4 linked regions of the Caenorhabditis elegans genome follow. The main gene of each other region encodes a partner of the protein of the gene in region 4 in a complex. Each region holds a gene or a part of one and is shown on either strand. Other genes may lie near its edges.

What was found.
Region 1: cif-1 (region 4) and eif-3.C share a complex: the UniProt entries of both Caenorhabditis elegans proteins name them as parts of the eukaryotic translation initiation factor 3 (eIF-3) complex.
Region 2: cif-1 (region 4) and csn-4 share a complex: the UniProt entries of both Caenorhabditis elegans proteins name them as parts of the CSN complex.
Region 3: cif-1 (region 4) and eif-3.L share a complex: the UniProt entries of both Caenorhabditis elegans proteins name them as parts of the eukaryotic translation initiation factor 3 (eIF-3) complex.

The regions. Positions count from the first base shown.
Region 1 is NC_003279.8:9,975,920-9,981,406, forward strand, and holds eif-3.C (Eukaryotic translation initiation factor 3 subunit C), read right to left. Parts: upstream 3,744-5,487; 5' UTR 3,742-3,743; coding exon 3,641-3,741; intron 3,593-3,640; coding exon 3,359-3,592; intron 3,278-3,358; coding exon 2,392-3,277; intron 2,346-2,391; coding exon 1,228-2,345; intron 1,177-1,227; coding exon 819-1,176; 3' UTR 507-818; downstream 1-506. Other genes in the region: T23D8.3 (Protein LTV1 homolog), read right to left, coding at 185-367; Beta-catenin homolog sys-1, read right to left, coding at 4,575-4,657, 4,710-5,214, 5,266-5,487. UniProt on the Caenorhabditis elegans protein: Component of the eukaryotic translation initiation factor 3 (eIF-3) complex, which is involved in protein synthesis of a specialized repertoire of mRNAs and, together with other initiation factors, stimulates binding of mRNA and methionyl-tRNAi to the 40S ribosome.
Region 2 is NC_003282.8:1,084,008-1,088,649, reverse strand, and holds the start of csn-4 (COP9 signalosome complex subunit 4), read left to right. Parts: upstream 1-1,636; 5' UTR 1,637-1,642; coding exon 1,643-1,722; intron 1,723-2,340; coding exon 2,341-2,426; intron 2,427-3,881; coding exon 3,882-4,042; intron 4,043-4,642. Other genes in the region: cct-8 (T-complex protein 1 subunit theta), read left to right, coding at 648-838. UniProt on the Caenorhabditis elegans protein: Component of the COP9 signalosome complex (CSN), a complex involved in various cellular and developmental processes.
Region 3 is NC_003280.10:5,619,419-5,624,494, forward strand, and holds eif-3.L (Eukaryotic translation initiation factor 3 subunit L), read right to left. Parts: upstream 3,064-5,076; coding exon 2,991-3,063; intron 2,380-2,990; coding exon of another isoform or gene 2,374-2,379; coding exon 2,247-2,373; intron 2,198-2,246; coding exon 1,924-2,197; intron 1,881-1,923; coding exon 1,713-1,880; intron 1,670-1,712; coding exon 1,316-1,669; intron 1,231-1,315; coding exon 1,061-1,230; intron 1,012-1,060; coding exon 774-1,011; intron 718-773; coding exon 505-717; downstream 1-504. Other genes in the region: npl-4.2 (Nuclear protein localization protein 4 homolog 2), read left to right, coding at 3,479-3,622, 3,674-4,039, 4,102-4,293, 4,341-5,073. UniProt on the Caenorhabditis elegans protein: Component of the eukaryotic translation initiation factor 3 (eIF-3) complex, which is involved in protein synthesis of a specialized repertoire of mRNAs and, together with other initiation factors, stimulates binding of mRNA and methionyl-tRNAi to the 40S ribosome.
Region 4 is NC_003282.8:4,706,319-4,712,500, forward strand, and holds cif-1 (COP9/Signalosome and eIF3 complex-shared subunit 1), read right to left. Parts: upstream 4,438-6,182; 5' UTR 4,162-4,437; intron 4,076-4,161; coding exon 3,964-4,075; intron 3,465-3,963; coding exon 3,004-3,464; intron 2,270-3,003; coding exon 1,940-2,269; intron 1,010-1,939; coding exon 824-1,009; intron 772-823; coding exon 688-771; 3' UTR 536-687; downstream 1-535. Other genes in the region: yars-2 (Tyrosine--tRNA ligase), read right to left, coding at 4,590-4,796, 4,847-5,515, 5,565-5,701, 5,750-5,922, 5,974-6,075, 6,123-6,178. UniProt on the Caenorhabditis elegans protein: Component of the eukaryotic translation initiation factor 3 (eIF-3) complex, which is involved in protein synthesis of a specialized repertoire of mRNAs and, together with other initiation factors, stimulates binding of mRNA and methionyl-tRNAi to the 40S ribosome.

The sequences.
Region 1 (5,487 bases), on a different chromosome or scaffold from region 4:
AATAATGTAAAAAATGCTGATTAAAAAAACATAGAAATTTTTTACTTAAAAGAAGTACAAAGACCAAAATTTTAAGCTATTTTTTGACATATCCTAAAATCTTTTGATTTCATTGAAAAATCGAAAAACAAACACTTTTTTTTAAGTTTCGGTATTTGATCAAATTGATTTTAAGATGACAAACCTCATTAACAGCTCGCATGTGCTGCAAATAATCATAATCATCGTCGTAGTAGACTCCATACTTTTGCTGTTCCTCCAAATGTTCTTGAGTTGGCTTGAATCGTTCACTTCTTTCCCTATTATCCGGAACCAATCGAAAACTTTGACTGGCTTTCTTATCAATGAATGCCTTCCTTTTACCCATTTTGAGGCGAAATTTATGTTTCCAGTAACCTGAAATATGAATTCTATGTTAATTTTTTGTTACTTTTATTGTTGGATCTGAGAAAATAACTGATTGGACAGAACCGGGGCTCATAAAAAATTACTTAAAATTGGACGAATCAAATTAAATATTTCATTAAAATAATATCCGGCAACCCAATATAAATAATTAGCAAAAACAAAACAGTATGGAAAGAGTATAACTTAAACACTACTAACCGGAAACGAAAAATGAGAGCTTTAAAGTTCAGATCTCACACTGAACAAGGAAAAGTGGGAAAGGGTGGGGGATTACCAAAAAAACTGATCAATTAAATAAAAGATTCAACAAGTATTGGCGCCTGCAAAAAGTTTTTGAGACTAATTGCAGGCGCCATGAAAGGCGTATTAGCGGGTTCCACGAATGGGAGAGACGATTGAAAAATGGATATTTAGAAGGCTCGTGGCTTTTGAGGATGACGACGTTGCTGACCACCTTGAGATCCCCAATTTCCTCGCTTTCCGTCTTGTCCTTGTCCTCCACGTCGTTCTCCTTGGTATCCACCAGATCCTTTCTGCTTATCTCCTTGCCGCTCGTTCCTTCCTGGAAACCACGATCCTGGACCTTGATAACCACCACGTCCAGTGCGCGGCTCCAGAATTTGTTCATTGTTTTCGGCAAGAGTTTGAAGTTTGTCAGACAAGTTGAGAGCAAGCATTTGAAGTCTGGAAGGTTCAACACGGTGCATGATGAGACAGTCGGTGGGCTCGTCAAGTGTAGCCGAAAGTTCCTCTTGGATGATCATTTTACTGAAAAAATAAAAAAAAATTATGTACTGTCTAGTAAAATATTACAAATACCTGATGATGCTATGAACATCTTTCTTTGAAAGTTCGAACAAATCCGCAAGCTTCTTGAGCGAAACAGTGGCATAAACTGTAGAGTATGTGAGCAAATAAGTTCTGAGAGATTCCTCTTGAATACGTCTCACAACCATTCCCTTAACAGTCTCAGCGTTATGGAAAAGATTCCAGACCTTCTGGTTCATCTTGTCATTGACGATATAGTCTTGACACTTTTTCCAATCTCCATTCAACATTGCTTTCGATGCGGCGACAACATGTTCACGGGTATTCTCTGGTGGTCCAGTGAGAGAAGCTTTCTCGCTTTGCTTCAATTGGTAATGGAAACTTCTGCTGAGCATACGACGACGCATTTCGAATTCGCAACTAGCCATGTGTGGAATTTCGAGAAGCATCGAACAGATCAGATAGACACACTCCATAAGTTCAACATTGATGTGCATATGATATGGAACTTGACGGGAACGATCAATCTTCTCTTGTTCAGCAGTCTTTTCGTGCTGACGAGTTCCAACAGCTTGAGCAAGCAACTCCTTGGCACGTTGGGTATTTTGAATTTCAGATAGTCCTTGATGAGCTTCGCGAATGAAACCGTGTCGGAAAGCGCAGAGACCGAGTTGGCAGATAGTTCTGTTGTAGAGGATTTGAGTGTCGACATCAGAATGATCAACGATAGCTTGCATGTGACTCATAAGAAGAAGATCTCTGGCGCGGTGCCACTTGTCATGAACAGCCAGATAGTAAACATGGCAGAGCATAGCACGTTGTCTCAATCGTTTCTCATCATCAAGTGTATAGATCTTATTACACAAGTAATCCATCAACTTTCCAGCATCCTCCTCATTTTGATCTTGATATTTGTAGTAGGCATGCTCGATGCGCATCATGTACACTTTGCAAACTTCGTGTTTATCGAAAATGCCAGAATCGTTACGAAGTTCAACGTACTTCTCGGCCTTTTCAATGAGTGAGCACATATCCTTCTCGGCCTTCAACTTCTCGATATAATCATTGGAATGACAATCGGCGTTTTGAAGAATTTTAGCCAACTCTCCGTCCAATCTTTGCACAGCAATCAGAATACTTCCTTGAATGCGATACTCTTGAGTGTCATCCTGCAAATATTAGGATTTTTATTAATTTTAGGAATGCAAGTATTACCTTCAGATTTTCATCTTCTTCAGCATATGTCACAGATAACTTTACACGATCAGTTCCGATGAGAAGATCGAGCAAGCTGTTGACGGTTTGCAGAGTGGTCATGAATGTTTCGTACTCCATGTGATCACTAATTTTAGCGTTCAATTCGAAAAGAGCCGAGATTATGCAGAAACTGATTTTAACGTTGATTCCTAGACCAAGTTCTTTCTCTTCCGATACCTCCAAAAGTTTTCGAAGATTAGCAACATGTTGATTACGATCTGTCGTTCGTTTTCCACGAGCCGACATAACCTCATTGAGTTTCTTAATCATAACGTCATGAGTAACTTCTTCCTTGGGATCAAAGTGAACAACAGACTTCTCACGATTAACTGGAGTCCAATCCGCATCATCGTCTTCCTCGACAGCTTCTTTGACTCTGATAACTCTCTTCTTCTTTTCTTTCTTGTCATCTTTGCTCTCCACGCGGAATTCTTTTTTCAAGAAATACCTACGAAGTTGCTCCATCTTAGTCACACTGTCTTCGTCATCAGAAGAATTGGATTCTGGTTCAGAAGACCAGTTAGAGGAGTCGTCATCGTCGCTGTCACTGTCACTATCGCTCACTGCAGCTTTCTCAGATGGTTTTCCAGGTGACTTTTCAGCCTTCGATTCAGAAACCTCTCCAAAATCATCGTCGTCTTCATCTTCTGGAGTTTCATATCCATCCTCGTCAGGATTAACGCGATAATCGGTAACAAGATCTTGCAGTTGTTGATCCTTGATGTATTTTTTCAGTTTTTGACGAAGAGGTGGAAGAGCTTTTGCGTTGTTCTTCGAAAGAGCAGATTTAGCATCTTTATCATCCCATAATTTATTTACGTAGTCTTCGATTTCCACAAGAGACCTGAAATATTTTATATCAACTACTAAGTTTTCATTAGCATTTTATTTTATGATGTGACTGTAAATTAAAAATATATCTCACCTTATGTAAAATCTTGGATTTGCGACATTCTGACGTTGAAAGACCGTCTTGGACTTATCATAAGCTTTGGCCAGAGAATCAAAACCTGTTAGAAGTCTGTTCAGATCTTTGTTGCTCTTTGCATCTCGATTTTGCTTGATAATTCCTTTCAGCTCATCGAATTTTTTGTCCTTTTGGGCACGAACAACACGCTTCTCATCTTCTTCAGGACCGGCCATGAAATCGAGATCATCGCTGAAAGATTAATCAATCTTTTGGAATTACTTTGGAGATTATAATTACCGAAATTTCGCGCTTTTGTTCACTTTTTGATCCTCTACCTCATCCTCGCTGGACGAAGTGTCGGAATCAGAGTCCTCCTTAGCATGGAAGAAGCGAGACATTGCTGAAACAAAATTGACATTATGAAATCCCAAAACAAGAAGCAAACAAGCAGTAGATACACAATTAGACAGAAATTCCAATATTATTTAAAATTTAAAATGAATAAAACGATTTTCCCTTTGAAAACAATTCAAAAAACAGCTAATGGGTCAATATTTAGCTGAAATAAATTTAAGTGGAAGTGGAACATAAGAAAATCGTTGCAAGACCTTACTGGCGCGTTTCGCGTGCACGGGAGATGCGTCAGCACTCGCCACTTGCGCCAGTGGGCATTTGCGCGGAGATTTAAATAATAATTTATTATTTAATCACAATTCCACAATTTCAGGTTAATTTTACAGAACGAGAATAGTCTCTAAATAACTTATATATGAACCGAGTATTCAGTAAATCAATCCAACATTTAAAAAGTTTTATAATTTTATTTTCTATTCAACGTAAGAACATCGAAGAAAGACGTATATAAGACAGGAATTTGATAGTTAAAATGCAAAGATAATCGCGAAAATGTTTTGTATTCAAAAATATTATGCTACAGACGTAAACAAAGAAACAACAAAAAGAAAGAGATAAACCGAGGGCAAAATGAGAAGAAATGTGCTATAAATTAGGAAAATCGGAACGTTTTGTTTGTTCTAAACTCGAATTCATATGAAATCGTCAAGAATGAGGAAATTTGGGACCGGTAGAAAATGAAGAAAAGAAGAGAGAACATATTTTAATCAATAATACGACTATGTACACGCTAAAACAGCTTCCAACTAGACGAATTAATGGCTTTGAACGGGGATTTTTGGGATGAAAGATGGAGTTGACAGATTTATCCATTAAATCAGAAATATTCTCGATTTGAAAAAATACCAGCAAGAAGGTCGTTTTCAGGGAAGCGACTCAGCAGAGAATTCGCGGCTTTAGCTGAAAAAATGCATTGTAATTTAATTTATGAACACATTTTCGAGACACATACCTATATCTGAATTTCTATGATTCGTCAGTCCTTCCAACATCGGCCTGTCAATCGTCCAAATATCCGCACGCGTCGGGCAGTGCTCCAAAATCTTGTCACATACAACAAGCACATTGTGAATAAACGTTGGTTTCACTTGATTTCCGTTCAGCAGATTTAATGGGCAATCAATTGAATACGAGTACTGTGCCACCTCTTTTTCAGCTCCACATTGCTCCATGAGCACAAGCAATAAACTTATGGTACGTTCAACAAGTTGCTGCTTTGTGGATTGAGTTCTTGTATTGTTCGGTTGACGAAAAACCCATGAATAGGCGGCACAAATGTGTCCTATTAAATTTTCCTTCCGATTTTCATCAATAACATTCAGAACACCGTCTTTTGGAACAAATGGTGTTCGGAGTAACAGTATAAAAGATCGGAGAATTGTACTTCGAAGTTCCAATAAACCAGGTGTATCCATTCCTTCACATGATAAACAACTCATCAGTTTTTTCAGAATATCCTGAAATAATTTAATTCATTTTTATATCGTTTTTCAAATTCCAAAACGTACAATTTCGATGAATTTGCAGACCTGCTGCTTTTCATTCGGTCCAGCCGTTTTCGTTTCTCCATTGGGCGTTGGAATCCACATCATCAGGAAATTGTTCAATGTACGCAGACAATTGCAAATAATTTCACAAACTCGATTTCTTTTCGGAGCATCGGTAAGTTCATCTAGTCGTGGATACTTTGAGATTATCGTGTGAAGTAGGAAAATTGCATTGGATCGTAT
Region 2 (4,642 bases), 3.6 Mb from region 4:
AAAAACTTGAATTTTACCTGAAAATGTGCATTTTTGACTGAAAATGTGACCGGAAACATCAATTTTCTTTTGTTTTGCTTCACTTTTTTAAAGTTTTCTTCAGTTTTTGCATTAAAATAACTGATTTTTCACAGCTGGAAACCCTCACAAAACCCGGAATTTTCGCTAAAAATAGGCAATTTTCAGTCAAAAGTCAACTGAAATTCTTCCAAAAAACGTCAAAATTTCCAAAAAAAATCCCCCAATTCCAGACAACACATTCAATTTTTGCTAAAAATTCCAAAAAAAAATATCAGCAAACTGACAGAAAATTTTCAAGTTTTAATCAAAATTGGCCAATTTTCCTTTTGAAAAACCTCAACTTTTCGGTTCAAGCTCAGAAAATTAGCTGAAAATCCGAAATTTTCAACTGAAATTTCTTTAAATCAACTCAAAAATGCAAAAAATTGAATGAAAAAATCGAAAACTCAGCCAAAAATCGGCCATTTTCAACTCTGAAAAATGCCAAATTTTCAGGTAAAAATTCCTCAAAACCCCCCGAAATTTTGGCTAAAAATGTCAATTTCCAGCGCATAAAACTTGTAAATTTTCAATCAAAATTCTGAAAAATCCCGAATTTTAAACTAAAATTCCTTCTTTTTTTTCAGAAACAATGGACGCCGTCGTCAACAACATTTTCGACCTCTACGCTGGAAAACGACTGGCAATTAAGCTCGCCACAGACGCCGCCAGCACAATTCTCAAAGTTGATCAGATTATTATGTCAAAGCAGGCGACTGGAGGACCAAAACCACGTGGACCAAAGGCTCAAGATGAGGATGACGATGGAATGGCCTAATTTTTTTGTGTGCATTTTTGCTGAAAAATTGGGGAAATTTGAGTGAAAATGAGCTGAAAATCGATTTTTCAGCGAAATTTTAGACAATTTTCCCCCACTTTTTCAGATTTTCCCCTCGAATTTCCCCGCCGTTTCCCTGGGAATTGAGCTGAAATTGCAATTATCTTGAAAATTCGCTTAACAGTTTTTAGCTCATTTTCCACCATTTTTCCCCGTATTTTTTAAATTTTCCCGCTCTATATGCCTTCTCCGTATGATTTTTTGCAATTTCCCCGTTTTTATTGATTTTCGCTGGAAAATGAGCTGAAAATTCGATTTTTGCTTAAAAATTAATTTTTTTTTTTTAACGCGAAAATTCAGTTCCAAATTTACTCGATTTTGGTCAAATTTAGCTAAAAATTTGCATTTTTCAGCCAAAATTTTCCAGTTTTTGCCAGAAAATGGGCTTAAAATTGTCATTTTCTTCTGAAAAATCGAACTTTTGCCCCATTTTCAGCCGAATTTCAGCCTTTTTCCTCCAATTCTCCATAATTTTTAATGCTATCCCCCAACCCGTTCTGAATCTGAAAATCACAGTTTATGATCTTAAAATTGCGCCTTAAATTCTATAATTTTCAGCTTTTCCCCCTCGAAATTTTGTTTTTTTTTCTCGTTTTTTGCTTCACGTTGTGTTTGTTATAAAATTCTCCAAAAAAATCACAAAAAATTAGAAATTTTAAAGAAAAAATAGTCGAATTTCCTATATTTTTATCTGAAAATTCCCCCCAAAATTTTGTTGTAAAATTTCCACAATTTCAGCTGAAAATGAGCGGCGAAATTGAACGTTCACAGGAGGTGGCGGTCATTTTTGCACAGGATACCGATCACAAGGCTCAATATGAAGCGTAATATTTTTGGATTTTTGAGAAAATTTGGAGCTAAAAATGTGAAAATCTGGAAATTTTTAGCAAAAAATCCCAAATTTTTGTATTTTTCATTGGAAAATCTGAATTTTGTAAATTTTCAGCTGAAAAAATATGAAAAAAAAAAAACGATTTTAGCTATGTAGAAATTTTGAAAAAAAAACGAATTTTCACGCAAAAACATTTCCTAATTTAAAAAATTAGTAAAATTCGCGAAAAATTGAAATTTTTATCTTTTTTTTCCAGAAAATCTGAAATTTTCAAATTTTTATACTTAAAATCTGAAAAATTCTATTTAAAAACTCAAGTTTTCATTTATTTTCTACGAATTTTGAAATGAAAAATTCTTACAAATCCCGCACTTTTTTCGTTCAAAAATTGGAAAAAAACTAATTATTAGCTAAAAAATTTCCAATTTTTGTATCAAAAAACTCGAAAATTCTCAAATTAAAAAAATTTTTTAATTTTTTTGCTGAAAATCACGCTAAAAATTTCAGCTTTTTCACGTAAAATGTGATTTTCTGAAATTTCATGTAATTTTTTAGCTAAAAAGCCGAAATTTTCTCGATTTTCAGACAAAAAATTCCCCGATTTTTGCAGATTGGCGAAGCTTTGCAACAAATATTTGCCACAAAATGCGATGGGACGAGTCGATACGGCGGAAATTATTAAAATCATTGATACAGGTTGGAACACGACGAAAATTTCGGATTTTTCAGTGGGAATCTGGCTAAAAATTACGAAAAATGATGAGTTTTGGTGAAAAAATGGACGAAAATCGCTCAAAATTGGACAATTTGGTTGGAATCTGGCTGAAAATCGATAAATCTCGATAAAAATTGACGGAAAACGAGAACATTTTCGGAATTCCTGTTGAAATTTAGCTGGAAATAAATAAATTACATTGAAAAAAATTTTTTTTTGAATTTTTGGAGCTGAAAATTGGCAGAAAATCCGATTTTTTCAGGAAAAATCTTTAAAAATTTACATTTTTTTTTACAAAATGGACTCAAAATTAGCTTAAATCGCTCAAAAAAGGCTGAAAATTCCATATTTTAAGTGAAATATTTTAAGTGAAAAATATGGAATTTTCAGCCTTTTTCGAGCGATTTAAGCTAATTTTGAGTCCATTTTGTAAAAAAAAATGTAAATTTTTAAAGATTTTTCCTGAAAAAATCGGATTTTCTGCCAATATTCAGCTCCAAATCCAAAAAAAAAAATTTTTCAATGTAATTTATGAATTTTCACAAAAATCCAATTTTTCGTTCGTTTTCTGCAGTTTTGTTTTTTTTTTTTGAAAAGTTAAAAATTTCCTTTAAAAAACGCGAAATTTCCAATTTTTCACGGTAAATGTGATTTTCAGCCAGTAGTTTTCAACCGTTTTTTCGCGGGAAAAATTGAATTTCTAAAGATTTTCCTCGAACAATTCGATTTTTCCGGTATAAAAAGCGACCTTTTACCGATTTTTCACAGAAAATTCAGATTTTGAGCCTTTTTCACCCTCAGAAGCCAAAAAAAACCCCCAAAAATTGGATTTTTCTTGAAAAATTTGAATTAAGAAACTCAAATTTTCAAACCGTTTTTCCACGGAAAAAGTGCGTTTTTCAACGATTTTTCTCGAAAATTCTCAATGTTCTGCGTTTTTAAGCGATTTTCAGCTGATTTTTCACGAAAAAATCGAGTTTTCAGGGATTTTGATATATTTTTCTTGAAAAAATCGGATTTTCAGCTGTTTTTTCCACGGAAAAAGTGATTATTTAACTTTTTTTCCAGAATAATTGGATTTTCAGCCAATTTTAGGCTTAAAATAGGGCCTTTTAACGAAAAATGTGACTTTTAGGACATTTTTCAATTTTTCGCATAAAATTAAATAAAAATGGAATTTTTTTACCATTTTTTTTTCAAATTTTCAGGTTCAAAATAAAGCTTTAAAAAAGTGGAAATTTCTAGTTTTTAGGCTTAAAATAGGCTTCTTAGACGAAGATTTTCAAGCTTTTCGTTAAAAAAAACAGGAAAAAATTAATATTTGTATAAAAAAATTGAATTATCAGCTAAAAATTACAATTTTTGCACTGTTTCAGTGCAAAATTTGTATTTCTTTTAGAATTTTTAGCAGCCTATAACCCCAAAAATGTTTGCAGTAATCGCATTGGAGACTGGAAGTATGGTTGTATCACGTCAATTTGTATCACTTATCACTGAAAGATTGGATAATCAACATTTGGAATCAGAATGTGTTAAGGCTATTTCAGAAGGAATTTTGGCGATTATTAAGACTCGAACCATCTCTTATGAGGATCAGGTACTTGGAAATGCACTGCAACTTTTTCCTCACGAGGGACGAGGAACAGTGGTTTCTAGGCCATGGCCGAGGGGCCGACAAGTTTCAGCGGCCATTTATCTTGCTTTGTTTTCCGCCTGTTTTCTTTCGTTTTTCACAGCTTTTTCCCGTTTTTTCTTATTAAAACTGATAAATAAATATTTTTTGCAGATGATAAAACAATTTCGAAGTAAAAAAATTATGTATTCAGTGGGCAAGCAGCGGTGAAAGTGGGCATTGTAATATGATGGATTACGGGAATACAAAACCTAAATTTTTTCTGAAACATGATACATATGATGCTTAGATGCTGAAGCTACCTGATTTTCATATCAAGACCGCTGAAAAAGTTTTGAGGTTTCCAAAATTCAACTTTTTGTGCGAAAATCTCGACTTTTTCACCAAAAAAGTTGAATTGTGGAAATCTCAAAACTTTTTCAGCGGTCTCGTTATGAAAATCAGGTAATTTCAGCATCTAAGCATCATATGTATCATGTTTCAGAAAAAGGTTAGGTTTTGTATTCCCGTAATCCATCATATTGCATTGACCACTTTCACCGCTGCTTGCCCACTGAATACATA
Region 3 (5,076 bases), on a different chromosome or scaffold from region 4:
GGAAAAGATTGTTGTTGTCCTCCTGTTCTACTTATCTTCCCTCGAGACTGGAGACGCAGGCATAACTAGTGGGAGAATACACATAAGACTACGTTCTAGGTGAAAACCATGGACCTATAGGTCAAAGTACAGTCTATCACTGTACATACAAGACTACTCGTAAGAGAGATTAATAATTATTCGGAAAAAATTGAGAAGTAGTTGCGATGAGCGTAGAATATAAACAATCATAAATTAACTTCATAAGAAAAACCAAAAAAATTTACTAAACTTATTATGAACCATGGATACAAAATAATTGGGAGATAAGAGAAAAAAAGGAAGTTTAGGACCAAAACGAAAAGACAACAACAGGAGAAAGTGGTATAAATAAACGGAGAGATGTTTTTAATTTTCAACAAGAGATATAATGTTAACAAACGAGTGGGAGTTGGTGTGAAACTAAACGAAATTAACCGGAAATCAACCAGTCATGTTTCGTTTAGCTCAAATACTTTTTAAGGATCATGGTTTCTGGATATCGAGTCGTTTGAGCACATCCTGAACCTCTTGCAACTTCTGAATATGTCGAATGAAATGTTCACCGACGTGACGAGCAACTTTGGTATCGGCAATATTGATCATATCACGGTCTACGTAAAAGTCAATATCTGTTTGTGGCTCATCGTCGTCTGCTGATGATGGTCCGGCTTCTTTGCCAAGCTCATTGACGATCATCTGAAATTCAAAATATTACATCAACACTCGAGATCATCGGAAATTCTTATATATACCTTGTAAGTGAGAAGCTTTCCAATGAACGAATCATAGTGCTCATCATCAACATCCATGAACGACGCAAGCTTCTTAGTTGGAAGTGTTGTGTAAAGTTTCAGGTATCCACGAAGAACTGGTAACGCCATCTGTGATTCAATACCTTCCAGGAAAGATTGAGTTTGACGAAGAAGTGGTTCTTTCGATTGGTTGACTCCCTCATAGACAACTGTGGTTGGAGACAAGAACTTTGGACATCTGCAACAATACAATACTATACAATTACTTGACTAATTTCGTTTCCTACCCAGTAGCAAAAGCATTTCTGAATTCATCGATATTCCCGTTCGCCATGTGCATCATACGCTCACCACATCGCTCCGAAAGCTGAGAAGCAATGCTTTCATCGATTCTTTGTGGCTGGATGGCGAGGCAGATTGCAAGAAGATGGAAAAGCTGATCCCACGTCTTTCCAATCTGAAATCGGCAGAATATTATTGGGTCTTCATTAGATATTCAATTATTGTGCAAATATTGTGCAAAAAATTTAGAAAGTACTCACAACATCATATTGGAAGTTCTTTTTCGATGGCTGCTGATTTTGAACACTCTTTGTTCTTTGAATATAAAGCAGACAATTGACGAACATCTTTGTAGCTTCTCCGTAATTTCTCATCATCAAATGAGAAAATCCAACAAAGTAATGGAGAGTAACAAGGCAAGTTGGAACTGTATTGTAGATTCCTTTTGGATCAATATCCACGTATTGCACGGTTTTCAAAGCCTGATGATAGTCTCCTAGAAGAACGTGAGTGCGGAGAAGTCCGATGAGAGCGAAATATCCAAGCTTGAAGTAGAGATCCGATTGACCGAATTCATCGGCGACCGAATCCGGATTGCGTTTTTCCTGGAACGACTGTAGAGTTGAAAGCAAAAAAATAATATTGAATTAAACAAACCTTCAATGCCTTGAGCTGCTCCACAATTTGGGATTTTGATAGAAGCGAATAGAGAATGTTGAGAACTGGATAGATATTCCACGCGTTCTGATTTTCTTCGATATTGATGAGATCTTCAACTTCATCAGCATTGCGTTTTCCTGGGTTAGCCTTGTAGAGACAGAATGCCTGAATATTTATATTACGTACAAACTCTACCAAAAAATATTACCTGGAATTGATAGACGAATTCGTCGATAATATCCCAAAGCCACACGTTAGGGAGAGACAATGGAATTGGATCCTTGCTTGAGAGAAGCTCAGAGAATAACTCTTGATAGTTCATGAACGACTCATAGCGATGGACAAGGAGTGGTCCACGAGTATTTCTTGCATACAGCTGGCGATAATAGAGTTCCTTGTAGAGAATTATGAACAACTTGTTGCCAGGTCCAATAATTCTTTCGACAACATTCTCATCGGGCCACATGCGATCACGGAAGAATCTGAAATTAAAAGATAAATAGAAAACAATTTGAGATTATTAAATATTACCTCTCGGTGAGATCTGGAAAAGCTTGATCGTAGAGAGTCAAAATTTCCGGCACATTTTGTTCGTCAACCATGCGGGAAAAGTAGACCAGGTAGTCGGCGACCTCATTTGGAACTCCATCCTCATCGGCTGAAGCTGTTAAAAATTAAGAAATGAGATAAGTTTGTGTTGTTAACAAGCACCTAAATAACTACCATAAATATGTTTATAGAATTACTCTATTGATTGATTATCAATTTTTCTTTTGAAAAGATTTCACAATGCACGATCATTGATCCTCTGATACTCAACTTCTCTCTCGGGCTTTTAAATGATTAACTTCTTATGAACTCTTATGAACACCTTTTCATTTATTATTTCTTTCAAATGAATAAAGCTGTGATTCATTTAATCTGAGATTTGAGGATATTCGACACCGAAAAACACTGAAAATGACAAAAGTAGTCATTTTCATATACAATGAGGGAGTTCTGAGAATTGGCATTGATTCTTCACTGTAACAGTATTTGGAAAATTTGGTTTTTCTGAATTTTATGTATTTTGCTCATGGAATGTTAATCTGCAGTTTTTATGCAAAATTATTTCAGACCAAATTCTCCAAATGTCTGTTTGCCGAATTAAAATAAATCGGTTAATCAAAAAAGGACCGAGTCTTCAGTCTTTTCGAACTGTTTCAAATTTTAACATTTTTCAACTCATTTTACTCTTATTCATCAATTCTGAAAAATAGCATTCTGTGAACTTACAAGAAAAGGTGTTGGTGCGACGACGATCAGAGTGATCTTCAGTGGATAAATCGAATTCCACGCGTCGAGACATTACTGAAAGAAGGTTTTTATATTGATATTATTTAAATGTCAAACTAAATTCGAAAAGGTACGCTAAAATTAAGAGAAAACATTTTTTTAATTGTAAAATTTGATGAAAGGAATTGGAAAATGTGATGGAAAAAAGAAAATTGCAAGCGTTGCATGGGATTTCGCAAGAGTGCCGCACGGTTTTTTGTGTACGCATTTGCTCGTCATTCATGTTGTCTAGGCAGTTTTGATGACATTTTTTATTCTAAAAACAAAATGTTTTATTTCATTTGCTGTTTAATGTTTGAATATGTATGGAAACTAATTTGATACCCTTTCCGCTGCATTATTTTTGCAAAATCTCAAAATTATATATCTTCAATTCACTACCTAGAAGGCATATCTTCCTGCATTTAAAAATCTATTTTATTTCAGATATGGTAATTGAAGTCCCTCAAACTGAGCGTGTCAACGACGTTGATGTTTTTTTAAGCACGCAAGATGGTCAAATTCAGCGTCCAAAAGGGCCCAACTGTCGGCATCCTGTACGTCAAAAGTGCACTAATTGTTTGCCTGTTGATGTAAGTGATATTTTCTGTTGTTTTCATAGAAACTAATATCAATATTTACAGCCATTCGATGAAGAATATTTGAAAGAAAAAGATATCAAGCATATGAGCTTCCATGCACATGTTCGCAAGCTCCTTGGATCCCAGGGGAAGGGCACGACTCTCAAAAAACCGCTGGAAAACTTTCGATGTTCATTAAAACCCAACTGTGATGCTCACAAGCCGTTCCCGAAAGGAATTTGCACTAAATGCAAACCACAGGTTGTAACATTGAATCGTCAAAAGTTTCGTCATGTTGATAACATTCAAATTGAAAATCAAGAGCTTGTAAATCAGTTTTTGGATTATTGGAGACTATCGGGCCATCAGCGTGTTGGATTTTTAATTGGACAGTATCAGCCTCACCTTGAAGTTCCACTAGGAATCAAGGTAAGTTCAGTACTTCATCACTCATTTCTTGAGACGAGTTATTTCATTGCTCATACTTTCAGGCTACAGTGGCTGCAATTTATGAACCTCCACAACACTGCCGTGAAGATGGAATTGAGTTTTTGGAGGATAAAAATCAAAAAACTATTGACAATTTGCTGGAAATGCTTGGCTTGCAACGTGTTGGATGGATCTTCACAGATTGTTGGACAGCTAATAGTGCTGAAGGAACTGTACATTATACACGGCACAAGGTGAGAACAATCTCGAAGAGAAGCCCAAAAAACGAATAATTTTTCAGGATTCCTTCTTCCTATCAGCTGAGGAATGCATCACCGCAGCAATGCTTCAAAATCAACATCCAAACATCACAGAGTACTCGATGGATCGTCACTATGGATCCAAATTTGTGACCGTTGTTGCATCTGGTGATGAATCGATGCATGTTAATTTCCACGGATATCAAGTTTCAAATCAATGTGCGGCCATGGTTGAAGCTGATATTCTCTGTCCAACACTGTACACTCCTGAATTGGCTTATGTTCGAGAGACACCATTATCCGAAGAACATTATATAACTGATGTTCAATTTTCGATGAAAAATGAATACGGAGCCGAGGTTATGAAAAACGGACGACCACTTCCAGTTGAATATTTGCTGGTGGATGTTCCTGCTGGAATGCCAAAAGAGCCTCACTACACGTTCCACGTTGGCACATCTAATAAATCGAAGAGTGCCAAATTTAATGTTGAAAATCGACAAGCAATTGGACAACTTCAAGGAGGTGCAAATTTGATTCAATATTCATCCGAATTCTCTACAAATCAATTTTTGGAACAGGCTACAAACTTCCACTTTTTGCTCTATTTAGTAACCAATGACCAAGTGCAGATTTCTGATGAATGGATGAAACGATTGTGTGATGCAGTTAAAGCTCAGGACAGAGGAACTGCAATGGAATGGGCTCAGGAATGTGAAGATTGGCATCAGTTGATGGCTTTAGCGCATGCTAATGGAGGAAGCGGCAATGACGGTA
Region 4 (6,182 bases):
ATTTTGTAGATCATTTTTTTCGCATATTTTGGTACAATTACAGTCTATAGGCGCACGAATTTCCAATTTTTGTGCACCTATCGACTGAAAATGTACCAAAATCTGGAAAAAAAATGCGGCAGTAACTTCTAAAATGTGCAAAATAGAGAAGGCATGGTTTTTTTTTAAATATGACTCGAATTTTTTAAATTTAATTTCAAAAAGAATTTGAGAAAAAGGAAAATTAACTAAAATTCCCGTTTTCATTAGCAGAATTTTTGGACTTTTCTTCAAAAAAAGGCTAGTTTCTCCGAACTCTGAAAATTAAGAACAAAGATTGGCTTCGTCCGTCAAGTGACAAACATCTGATTATCATCGAAGCGGAAGAGACTAATCTCTTGTCCCTCCGGCTCCACGAGCATCAGTGTAAAGTGAGACGCCCGTGTGCTTATCGCATAACAAAAAAACAAGATAAAGCGACGGATAAATAGAAATAATCGGGTTTCGAAGTGAACAAAATCCATATTAAGTCAGAAGAGTGGGGAACATTTTCTTTTTTTAAATCAACAGTTTATGGGGAAATTTTTCAAGAGAGAGATAGAAATTATAGAGGAGGGAACCAACAAAACGGGGGACTTTCATGGGAAGAAAATACGATAGGGAGAACCAAAAACAAATATATTAAAAAGAACAGCGAAAAAAAAACAATTAGAGAGCCTCGATTCTCTGATTCACTTCATGGACGTTGTTGTGCGTTTGCTTCAGATTTGCGATGAGGACTTTCAGGCGTTTCTGGAAAAAAATCAATTTTTAAATGGAAACCCAACGAGTAAATATTATATACCTCGAGTAGAACCCATTGTTCCGTTCCGAATCTTCTGTGCTGGTAGGAGCTGACGATGAGAGTTCGGGCCATTTCATTGATTTTTCCGGAAATCGCGTTCACCTGAATCGCGTCGATCACAAATTCTTCGAGGGTCTCATCGGCAAGAATGTCCAATTGTTTGGCCAATTCGTCGAGACTGATTTCCTGAAAAATTCAGCAATTTTTATTTAATTCGGACGTTTCAAATGTTATATAGCCAACCGACGTTTCCATATGGGTCTCGCCACGCAAACAACGAGTTACTGTATCGTAACTTCACATTTTTGCAATATGGGTCTCGGCGCGCTAAAAATCCAATTTTTCAACGAAAATTCAACATTTTCGCATTCAAAGGTGTTCAAATAATTTTGAGCTTTCTCTAACTGAAAAATTGTTAAAATTCGAGATTTCGCTCTTTACAGAAATGGAATATTCAACATTTTCCACAAAATTATAGGTTTTTCGGGAGATTTCCTAGAGACGAGTTATTGTAATTTTAAGAGATTATGACAGGTTTTTAACCTAAAAATCCTCATTTTTGGCCGGGTTTTCATTCGGAAAAAGTCGTTTTTTAGTCTTAGAATCTGCAAATTTGCAGTAAAAAAGTGTGAAATTTTGGTTTTTTGTATTTTTACACTAAAATTTTTACGAAAATTGCATGTTTTTAACCTGGAAATCCACATTAATGGATGTTTCTCATCCGAAAAGTTTGCAATTTATAATTTTTAGCTTTACATTTCAGGTTTTCAGCTTAGAAGTGCTCTTGAATTTTGATTGGAAGGTAAATGAAAAATTTCTGCGAAAATAAAAAAAAAACATATAAGCAGTTCGTAATTCGAGCTACAGTAACTCGTTGTGAGCGTGGCGAGACCCATTTTCTCCTCTTTAATCGTCTATGTAATATCATTCGCCAAAGCCGTTATTTAGTCTTAAAATCTGTAATTTTGCAGTCGAAAAACGATAAAAATGTGTTATTTTGACACTAAAACTTTTCCCTTGAATCATAAATTTCAATAAAATTGCTGCCAAGATTTTCGAAACGAGTTACAGTAACTCGTTGTGAGCGTGGCGAGACCCAGTAATATCCAAACGTACGTTCTTCTCTTCAGCAAGCGACATGAGTGTCAAAAGACGGATCTTCTTGAGAAGAATAGTCTCGTCAACCTTCAAGTGCTCGGTGACAAATTTCGGATTCTTGGCAACAAATTCCTTATAATCCTTGAGAGTTCCAGAGATGAACAACTCGAGAGCTGTGAACATCAGTGGATCGGAAGTCTTCAACGCTTTGACTGCACTGAGTCGTTCGAGATGATCAAAGGAGAATGATTTCGGATCGACGACAGCAGTTCTAACACATTCCATAGCATCATCTCGTGCTGCGGCAGCGTCCTTTTCTGTGTATGTTCCGAGAAGTGCAGTCATAACCTGGAAACACTTTTTTAAAGGTTATGAGGACTTATGATTTTGGCGTTTTAGCTTGTATTGACTCAAAAAAAAATTTCGTGATTTGAAAAATTTCTCAAATTTCTACGGCGATTTAAATCTCTCTCGAAAAATTTCGCTAATTTCAGCTAAAATCTCTGATTTGCCAACTTCTCGTGTCCCAACGGTCAGAAATAAACTTATTTCGGTGGTTTTCGGTAATTTTTTGTTAAATTATGGAAACTTCAAATTATGAAGAAAAGGTTCAATTTTGGTCCAATCTTTGTTGTTTTAGACAAAAGTCGGTCCACTTTTTGGCCAACTTTACAGGCCATTTTCAGTAGAAATTTTGTCATTTTTGGTTTACTTTTCGCGCTTTTCGTTCAATTTAGTCATTTTAGCTCAATTTTTAGTGGAATTTGGCCATTTTGGTTCAATTTTGATCGAATTTTGTTCATTCTTTGGCGAAATTTTGGCATTTTTGTCCACTTTTGGGGTTTTTGGCCAAATTTTGAACATTTTGGTGACATCACCCTCAAATGTACCGCAAACAACAAAACAGTGTGAGATAAGAGACCAAGATTCAATAAAAACTGTGTTCAAGCCGCGAGACGGGACAGTTTGCAAAATTGAAGACTTTAGCAGAAATTAAGCAATATTTAACCGCCATAATTTTTTTAAAGGCAGTTTTTGTGTCTAGCTAAGTATAAAAACCGATAGTTCTTTATCAAACCCACCTTGGCAGCCTGATCAACTCTCTGATCAACAAGAAGTGCACGATGAACTGCTCTCAAGATCTCGCGTTGTCCCTCGACTGGCGTCTTCCATGTGTTGAATCTATCTTGAAGAGTCTCAAGATTGCATTCCAGCTCTCCAATGAGTCTTGCTTCAGCGCACATATCAACGAGCGCCTTGAAGATCTTCTCCTGTACAGTATGGAAGTTCGAGTATCCCTTGTACAAATTCGAGAGCACACGAACGGCGATTCCGGCGTGACTAGCCCATCCGGTTCCCTTGTAGAATTGTGGAGCAACATTCTTGATGAATGAGTCGACGACTGGCTCACACTTCTCGCCTGGCACAACGACGATAAGAGATGATATCGAGTTGAGCACCAGATCGACGTCCTGGGACCATGAAGGAAGCACGTTGAGAGTGGAGCAGATTTCGATCATGTTTTGGGCGGTCTCTGATGGTCCTGAAATTTTTTAAATCCAAATTCTGAAGCAGGGCTGTACCGCAAATCTTTTCTGAAAGTTTACGTATTTCCATGGGAGAAATTCTACAAAATGATCTATTGCATCATGTTGTTCTAACATTTTTCATTAAAAATAATGTGAAAACATAGAAAATCACTTTGTTTATCTGAAAATATCGTTGATTTTAGTTGAGAAATGGCAATTTGTAAGCAATTTTCAAATGCTTAAACTAAAATAAATACTATTTAAGGCCAAATCAATTGATTTTATATATTTTTAGAACAATTTAAATTTTAAAAAAAGTGGGAACAACATGGTGCGATAGGAAAATTTTGTAGAATTGCCGTTTCCACATGATATATTCAATTTTTTGAGAAAGAAATTGATACAGAAATGTTGAAAAAGAGTCGATCGACCTGAAAATGATAAAGATCCAAAAAGATTGGATTAATCCATAATTATTATATCGAAAAAATCAGCTTTACAAGTTTTCCGCACCATTTGGATCAAGCTTCACACTATCGTGCTTGTTGAGGTATTGACGGAGCTCTTGGAGCTGCTTGACATCATCAATGTAGGCGAAAACTGGAAGCTCACGAGTGTCAGCCATCTGAAATATTGTACATGCAGTTTAGAAAATATGGAACTGTGAACGAGCAAAAAGGAGAAATGCACATCAAACTTCAACTCATTCACCTTTATTTCGCGGCGCTATCAACCGTTGCGATCTTCTCAATGTGTCCTTTCCGAATCGCTTCCAGCTGTCTCTGGCTTCTTCTCAAATGATGCTCAATGAGCAACAGGTCACTTGGCTCGAAACGTGTTGCAGCGGCGCGGAACTCGTGCCGAATATGCGTGCGAATGCTCGGGTCACGGCCACGGGAGGCGCGCAAAAAATCACGGTAGGTGGAGAGAACGAGCTTTTGAAGTTTGCTGTGCACTACTCCTCCGCTCATGCGAATAGAGACGAGCCGAAAATTATTCAGGAATAAAATACAAAAAATATGCTTGGAAACGAGAAAAAGAGATATAATAAAGCGTAGAGAACGCCGAGAATATGACACCACAAATACAACAAAAAAATGAATATTTATTTTCATTATAACAACTAAAACTGAACCTATTCAAACCCATCGAACCAGCTGGTAACCTCGTTTTCCCCAACAAACAAGGGTGAGATCGGAGGCATTTTCCAGGAAAACGTCTGCTATTGATTCCGATGGAGATCTTTTCTTCTCTCCATTCACTGAAAATGCTCCTTGTTGCATCAAAAGATGACCTTTCCCACTGCCTAGTCGAGATGCGTCCGCGAGTTGGCCCATTGTTGCTACCTGGGAAGAAAAAGAATAAAATCTTCGACAACTAATTTTTTGATGCTTACATTCTCCTTTTTCAAGTCAATTGTTGTTCTGAATAATTGCAATACTTCACTTCTCGACAATCCCGATAAATCAGCCTTCTTGGCTCCAAACATTGCTTTTGTACACCGCATCGCCACTTCTAAACCTTCTTTTCCGTGCACAATTCGAGTAATTTCGGCGGCCAACTCCCTCTGAGCAATCCATTGTCCAAGATTGCTCCTATGATTCTTCAGAACATCTCTTATATGTTCGATATCTTGCAAACTGAAAAGTAACAGAAGCTCTTCCGCTTTGTCATCGTGAAGCTGCGCGAAGAACTGATAGAAATGGAACGGAGACGTCTTCGTCGCATCAAGCCACAGCGCACCTCCTCCTTCAGACTTTCCGAGCTTGGCACCAGTAGAATCCGTCAGAATCGGGAAGCATACTCCTGCAGCGAAGGCTTGATTCATCATTTTCTTAATATAGTGAGCTCCAAAGTCCAGGTGACCCAATTGATCATATCCACCAAGCTGGAATCGACATCCATACTTTTCGGATAACGTGTACCAGTCGAATGCTTGCATTGTTTGATAGCTGAATTCAGTGTACGATAATCCAACTTCCAGCCGATTCTTTATCGTATTCATTCGAAGCATCTTTCCGACTTGCATATTCTTGCATTCTCTCAGGAAATCTCGTAGACTAATCTGAAAAATATAACATTTTCTTTCTCATCATAGCAAGCCGAATGACTACCTTTCCTAGCCAATCATTATTGTTCACGATGATCGGCTTCTCGCTTGATCCCGGCGCGTTCTCAAAAATCTTGCAGATCTGATCTGTTACTTTCCTCGAGTTGTGCATAATTACATCGCCGGCCAGAAGACCCCGTTCTGAAGGTCATGATTTATTGAGTTTTCAGCGCTTTTCTAGGTAAAAACCTGATTTCTTTCCGCTCGGATCTCCAATACTGGCAGTGAATTCTCCGATCAATGCAATTGGACGTATTCCAAACTGCTGTGCACGAATTAAATTGACGAGAATCAGAAGATTTCCAATGTGAAGGCTCTCAGCAGTTGGATCGAAACCAGCATACACATAAGGTGGAAGCTGCCTGAAATTAAATGGATTATTTGCGGAATTTCGTAACATTCACAAGTTCAACCTCAAATCTTCGCTACATTTAGACAGCAGGTCCGTTGGATACGAGTGTTGCAGCTGTTTTCTCGCGTTTAAGTCGGTGATGTAATCCACGAATGAGCTTTCTCTGAAAAAAAACGAAAAATTAGAATAACCCACTAGCAATTGACTCACCGAGGTGCACGTACCGTTTTTAAGGCCACATTTCCGATTCGTTTGCTGTTGAACATTGTG